2 linked regions of the Caenorhabditis elegans genome follow. The protein of the gene in region 1 purifies or fractionates together with the protein of each later gene. This does not show direct contact. Each region holds a gene or a part of one and is shown on either strand. Other genes may lie near its edges. The genes, in order: mrps-14 and C29E4.12.

What was found.
Region 2: the proteins of mrps-14 (region 1) and C29E4.12 fractionate together in Caenorhabditis elegans (co-fractionation; one large-scale study listed by BioGRID). This does not show direct contact.

Annotation. Positions count from the first base shown.
Region 1 is NC_003280.10:10,239,774-10,244,325, reverse strand, and holds mrps-14 (Small ribosomal subunit protein uS14m), read left to right. Parts: upstream 1-1,835; coding exon 1,836-1,912; intron 1,913-2,403; coding exon 2,404-2,577; intron 2,578-2,695; coding exon 2,696-2,792; intron 2,793-3,660; coding exon 3,661-3,912; 3' UTR 3,913-4,021; downstream 4,022-4,552. Other genes in the region: nrde-2 (Nuclear exosome regulator NRDE2), read left to right, coding at 1-349, 410-987, 1,037-1,140, 1,403-1,517.
Region 2 is NC_003281.10:7,939,405-7,942,367, forward strand, and holds C29E4.12 (Protein FMC1 homolog), read left to right. Parts: upstream 1-1,652; 5' UTR 1,653-1,749; coding exon 1,750-1,967; intron 1,968-2,021; coding exon 2,022-2,130; 3' UTR 2,131-2,210; downstream 2,211-2,963. Other genes in the region: C29E4.10 (Putative galactocerebrosidase), read left to right, coding at 16-143, 219-649, 929-1,026, 1,075-1,322, 1,366-1,452; Condensin-2 complex subunit kle-2, read left to right, coding at 2,319-2,420, 2,495-2,963.

The sequences.
Region 1 (4,552 bases):
GATATAGCTATCCCCAAATCAACAGAAAAGCTCATTCAGAGCGCTGATTCTTCATTGCCAACGCTTCAATTACATCTTTATGCCAATGTTCTACGTGGAAGACTTTCTATTCTAAATCAAAATGCTTTAGAAGAGACTCGAGATGTTTTCTGTAAAGAGATTCTTGGAATTCACACTTCGGAATTTGAAAGTGATGAAGCTCTCTTATTGGCATTGGATCAAGGATTGAACGAATTGCTGGAGCATTGCAAGGAGAAGGACAATCTTGAATCGGTCGACAGTATACCAGAATTACCAAGAGCTGAGGCACTGTGCGAAGCTTTGAAAGTTGTGGCGGTATTTGTTTTCTGTGAGTTTTATAGTCTTTGAGTCTTTGTAAAAATTAATTGATTATTTTATTAAATTTCAGTGGACAAGATGGCATTCAGCAGGCGTGCAGTCGACTGCCTCATTGCCAACGCGATCACCAAATTCGAGCAATTTGAAGCCAAGAAAAATGATTTCAATCGTGGAACTTATGAAAAATACTGTGATCAGATCGATTTGAAATTCATCACGGACACTCTCATAACCTTCTTTTCGCACAAAAAACACCGTTTCATCTACAATGAAAACTTCAAAAAGTTGATCTTCCAAGCATCGCAAGCGTTCCCATGTGATTCGAAATATGCGAAGATGCTCGGCGAGCTGCATTCCAGCGGTCGTCTGCAAGTGATGAAGCTTCAAGGATTCACCGACAGCAGAAATAGTATTTTGAATGCGAAACGAGATCAGCAATTTGATCCAGAACTTGAAACTCGTCTTCTCATGAACTCGTTGACTATTATGTTCTCTTGGATGAATGCAGCCAACCGGATTGGAGACGCCGGAAATCAAATCCTCTATAAAAATTGGAAACGAGAAGCAGCTAATACACGTGATCCGGCTATCTGGAGACAAGTTATAAGAGTTGCCAGTAAATTGTCACAGAAGATTCTAAAGGACGATGTGAGTTTTCAGGAAAAAAGGTTGTATGTGAAATTTAAATTTCTTACAGGCTTACACTCGTGCAAGAGGTCAATGTACATGGGCTCTCAATTTGCACTTTGATTATATTGAAGCAAAAACTGTCCGCAAGAATGGAGATCTAATGGAGATGATGTAAGTTCAATTATTGAGAGCAAAGTTTCAGTTCAAAAATGTAATTTGTTGTGCCCGATTTTTGAAAATAATCAACTAAGATTGATTTTATTACAATGTTCAAATTATCGAAGTATAATTAATTTAAATCGTATTATTTTTTTTCGATTTCTAGTCTAGTCTATATACAACAATACAATACAAAGCGAATAAATTTTATTAAAACGCTATGCAATTATAATCAGCACACATGCCAATGCATTCTAAATAACACTATTTACAGCTACCTCATTCTCGAACAAAGCATGGGACAAGAGCATAGTTTATTTGTGACCGACGAGGAATACATGAAAACACAGCAGGAAATTGGACTACAGTATTCCGAATCCGGACGTTGATTCTCTCTTTTTTGTGTAACTCGGCCTATAACTTTTTTAAAAATCCATTCCATATAATTATCCACCGGTATTCATTTCATCCCAGGAATCTTTCTTTCTTTTGTTCTTTCTATCCGACAGATTATGTTTATTTTTGTATTATAATTCTTCTGTCTTTTCGCATTTTTTGTTTCGGTAAAAATTTTTTGTTTTCAACAATGAAAATATTCGTTTTAATGTCATATTTCTTTCATCATGAAAGAGGTTACACTTCCTCCAACCAGTTCCTTCCATGCATGAATAATTGTATTAAATATGTATTGCAATGTATGTGCACAGATGTTGAGGGCACTCCGCGGAGCAGCGGACCTACTATCGACGGCTCTTTACAAGAATGAAATGATGATGAGTAGAAGGTGAGTATAGATTTCTCTAATTATTATTTAAACTATGCGAAAATCCTGCTTTTGGCGAAAAATTTTGATGTTTTGCTTTTTTTACACTCGAGAATATTTTAAACTTTCAATTTATAAAATTTGTTTAAGCGAAAATTTTTCGTTGAAAAAAGTGAACCTGCCACAAAATGGAAACGTTTTTAAAAAATTAATTTTTAGAATTTCCCTTTTTTTTCCGAAAACTTACACTTGAAATTAGAAGTAAAATGCAATTATTATTAAAATATTCGAAAATTCTCAACAAAAAAAAACGTTTGAGGCCTGCGAAATTACTCGTATTTTTGACGAAAAGTTCAATTTTTGCTTTTTTATTCGAAAAAAAAACTAAATGGAAAACTTTTTTTTTGGTTTTCAAATTTCAAAATTTGTTATTCGAACTCAATCCTTTTCTCGCGCTGAGAAAACAGGAATTATCGTCTTATGGCTTAATTTAAATGTCCAACAATTTCCAGATATTTATCAACTCCAGCTCCTGAACCTGCAAAACCATCATCTGAAGAGACTACGGAATCCACGGAACCGGCAACATCTGTAGAAGATGCTGGAGAACCTATGAAAGAGAAACGAATCACTCAACCATATTCTAGCGAGGCGCTTACAAAATTGAAACTTGATCAGTATCCATTGTAGGTTTTTGGTTTTTTTTGTATATTTTTGAAATTATTGCCTGCCGCTTTTTTATTCTCAAAGTGAGAAAGAATTGCACATAAACTATACACTTGTATTGAATATACGTTTCTATAGATACGTGGAGAGAGAATGGTGGAAAACCGGAAAACGAATGACATTCTGGGCGAGTTGGCGTCAGTTGAGAGATGTCAAACGACGTGAGCAGATTCAGGTTGGTTTCTATTTTTTATACGAATATTGTCATATGTGCTAAAAATATTTTTGGTTTTTATTTCAAACCAAAAAGGAAAAAAATTGAAATTTGTAAAAGAACCAAAACAAAAAATACCAAAAAATACGAATATTGTCATATGTGCCAAAAAATTTGTTTTAAAGGATTAAAGGATTAAAGGACGATCCGTTCTTCAAGTGCTATGCACTGCGGATCTGGGATTCAGGTACACTGCCTGGTGGTGATCCCTCTGGGCTGTAATTTAAGCCACGTCCTAGCCGGGGACTGTGGCCGATAATCCAGTCGTGGATTGCTCCACTTCCCAATAGAGGCTGGGTGAACCTAGGGGGTGAGGCCGGACTTGAACTCGTGACCTCCAGACTGCTAGCGGCCACCACTACCGACAGAGCTAAAAAACATCAAAAACCATAAGAATATTTACAAAATATAAATTGTTTAAAATACAAAAAAAAAATCGCATTTTTCTTCGTGCCAGAATACCAAAAAACACCAGGGCTGTCACCAAAAAAAATTTTCCATAAACAAAAAAAAGTTTTTCGCTTCTTTTCACATGTCTGAAATTTTTTAAATATTTTTTTTATTCGAAAACCACCAAAAAATCGTTATTGAAAATCATTACTTTTTAAAAAAACAAAACCCCACAAAACAGAAAACCCAAAAAAAAAACCATTTTTTGTGACGAAAAAACCAAAAAATTCCCTTTTTTATTAAAAAAACCCCCACAAACCAAAAAAACCAGAAAAAACCCATTTTTGTAACAAAAAACCCCCGACACCCCCATTTTTGACAAAAAAGCCTTAAACAAGCCCAGGCCTGCTGCTTGCCCTTGATTAAAATTTAATTTCAGGAAGTCGGCGCGGATCGTATGCGTCTAAAAGCTATCAAATTCAACACAATTCTCCCGCAAGCGATTCGTGACGAAGCAGCCGAGAAAATGCAAAAAGCTCGAAAATACGATCATCCTCGTCTGATTCTCAATATGTGCCAGTTCACAGGACGACAACGTGGAAAGATAAAGCCATACAGATTGAGTAGACACTTGTTCCGTCGATTTGCAGATAGATCAGCTCTCAGTGGAGTCCAAAGAGCCATGTGGTAGTGTGAGATAGGAGTTGTAGTTTTAGATTTATTTGTTTTCTATTTTTGATTTCTTCTTCGTTTTGAACACTTCTTTTGTTATCGATGCTCTTAATGAATTATTTTTGTTTTATTGTGATATAGATTATGATATCTCTGTATTGGTTATTGATCAATTAAAATACTTTTTTTTCAGAAAAATTATTATTTTCAGATGTTTTTCTGTCCATCAGTGTGCGAGCGTGCTCCACAGCCCCAATACAATGGGTCTCGTTAGTTAATTGGCGGCAAAAGCCTAAAAATTCAAACGTTTTATTTTTCGGCAATCAAGGATGTCTTCGAAAAATGTCTGCTTCAGAGATTCACTGTTTTGCCTCCAATACCTAACGAGACCCAACTATTGGAGGCGGATCCTGCTCATTTCGCTGCTGAGCGCGCTTTCACATTGATCTCAAAAAACGAATTTTTCTGCGGTGTCGGCTTCAAAAAAAATTTCCAGAGAAATCGCTATTTTTTCGTTTTCCCATTGTTCACAAATTACATTAAAATTTCGGTCAATTTGCTTCCTTTTAGTGAAAAAGTATTTTTTTTCTCTTATCAACAGGCAAAGTTTGATTCAAAAAATTTAAAGTAAAAAAAAGATTTCAAGATTTTCCAGAAAA
Region 2 (2,963 bases), on another chromosome or scaffold:
TCACGACTATTTCAGAATACATTACTTCTCATGTTAAGCGAGGATGGAAGATTTTAAGAGAAAGTAGTGGTAGATTTGATGGTGGAGGAACATATGTCACTTATACAAATGGAAAAGATTCCACCATTTTTGTAGAAACCATGGTAAGACTTTAATATTAATTATGAGAAATTGCTTCAAATGATTTGAGAATAAACATTTAATTCAAAAAATTTCAGAGTTACAAGAAATCTTTATGCGAATATTCATCTCCACGGCCATACCATGTCAAGCCAAGTCAACTTATTCGATTTAAATTCTCTGAAATTCCATCATTTCAAGGATTAAATATGTCATTAAACTTTGGACCTTCAAAGTTCTTTTCAAAATCTGTCAATTCTACAATTACCATTCTTCTTCCTGTTAATTCATTTGGAATACTCACTACACTTCCAGTTTCAACTCCGAAAAGAGTTACTATAAAAACACCATTGGTTCCTTTGAATTATCACGACGACTTTGAAAATTATGAATTCGACGAGGAGCCAAAGTTTTGGATGCCACAAAAAGGATCATGGGTGGTACGAAATGGACGGGCGGTACAGAAAGTGACACGCCCATCAATTAGTTGGTGCACCTCACACATTCGAACTCCATATGCAGTTATGGCGTAAGAATTGATGACTTTGACCTATGAGGAACTACAGTATACCGTATTCCCTCTAATATTTTTACACCTCTTTTCTCAACTTTGGCAGCTCATATCTCAGTAGTAGTTTGTTCTATAGAAAAGTTGTCAACTGATAAAAATTTAGATAGATGTTTTTTCTGTAGTTTGTAGTTTGTTAATTATTTATATGTCCAAAAAGGAGATATGAGGTGTCAAAGTTGAGCAAAGGGGTGCAAAACTAATAGAGGAAATACGGTATACGGTATTCCTTCCATTTAGGTATCGAAAGAAGAATAGTATTCTAAACGCCGAGGTCAATATTCCAAAACACTCAACAGCTAAATCCATCATTCTAGGTATAAGGAGTAATTGTAGTGGTATGTAATTAGTGTTGTGATTCATATTAAAATCTATTACATTTTCAGGATGTGACATAGAAGTAATAAACTGTCGTGGAATATTTGTTGAGATTGAATTTTCAAATAAAAAAGTAACTATATTTTCCGATTTCGTTGACCGTTCAATAATTGCTGAATTCAAAGCACGAAGAAAAGTAGAATTTGGAAAGTTTTATAAATTCTCAATTCATTTACTGGACTCGCATCTCTTCATAAAATTCGGAAATCATCATGTGATGACTTCAGTGGAAATTCCAGAAGAACAATTAAATAAGGTTATTAAAATAATCAATTGAATTTCAAATATAATGTTTTCAGACAAATAATGACACTTTATTCGTGATTGGCACTGGAAATTTTGGCATCTCCGAATGGGATAATATTTCAACAGATTATTTTCACTGAGGCTGATTAATTACATTCAAAAAGTATTTAATATTGCTTGGGCATGTTTCTATTAAAATAAATGTACCATTTTATAATTTACCACATTATTGGAAAATGTCAAAATCAATTGCCACAAAAAACTAGATTCAAACTTCCGCGCAAATGGTACCGCAACGATGCTCCGCGTTTCGCTAAACAACGCGCGCCTCACGCGCGCAGTTTGAATTGAGAACGTTTTCCTGTTTTCTTTTTTTGTCTGAATTGTGTTATTGTGCTATTTATTATCCCTTTTTTGTACATTTTCAAAATTAAAGTATGGCCTCTGCTGTTGGAAAAGGAGTGACCGCTTTCAACACCATCAAAAACATCATTTCGGAACTGAAAAAGGTCGACAAAACATTCTCCCCGAATTCGGCACAATATAAATACCTCATGGAGCAAATGAAAGCCGACCAGGTTACAACAAGAAGATATTCAAAAGCCGAGAACGAGTCAGAGAGCGTTGCAAAACTCTATTTGAGCTATATTAAAGGGTTCGTTTGTTTTATGAGAATAAGAAAGTAATAATCAATATCCATTCATTTTAGAACCCGACAGCTTAATGAACTTCAAGAGAGATATAAGGGTGGCGAGAAGAGTGTTGAAGAGGCTGCTGCTATTGTTGGATTGAAACTTCCAGAACAAAAGAAACTTTAAAATACTTAAAATTGTTATTTCTTTCTCGAATAGATTAGATTCCTGTTTTCTTTTCAATCAAAATAAAATACTTCGTTTTTAAAATACTATTCAGGTTTTTTATAACTTCCTTATGGTTTTCGTACCATTCTATATCTTTTTTATAGTTAATCATCGCCAGAGCATTGGAATTGTTGTTTCAGGTACAAATGACTAGGAATGCTCCTCCAGGTCAAGAATCGACAGATTTAGCATGGCTCGTCACACCCGCAAAAGATCTTGTCGAGAACTTCTCAATCGACGTGTTGAAAGTAAGGATAATTTTTTTTCACGGTTGTATCTTTTCTTTTTCGGTAAATAAAATAAATAATTGCTCGACTTTCAGGCACTCGCCGGATACCTCGAGGTTATCAGACAAGAAAGTGAAGACACAGATAATCAGGTGGATGCAGCGACAACTTACAGATTGTTCGATTTTCAACGAGCATGCCGGATTATTCAAGGATCGTGTGCCGTATATGGTCGAAAAGTAGATCATGTCTATGAACTGACGATTTCAGTTGTGGATTTAGTCGAGAACAAAGGTCAAGATGATGGAAACACCGGCAGTAGACGAGGAGCTGGAAGACGGAAAAATTTTAATTTGGGATCGACGAATTACGACTTGGCTGATATCGACTCACTGAAACAGGAAGCTCTAGCAAATTTTGAGAAGACAGTAAAAGAAGAGAAAAAATCGATTGATGCAGTGAGAATGGTCGAGAATGCTGAAGTTATAGAGTCTCAATATGAGCGAAAAAGCTGTTTAGTAGCAAAGCCAACCCAGTTCATGTTCAAGCTCAATTACGGCCAGC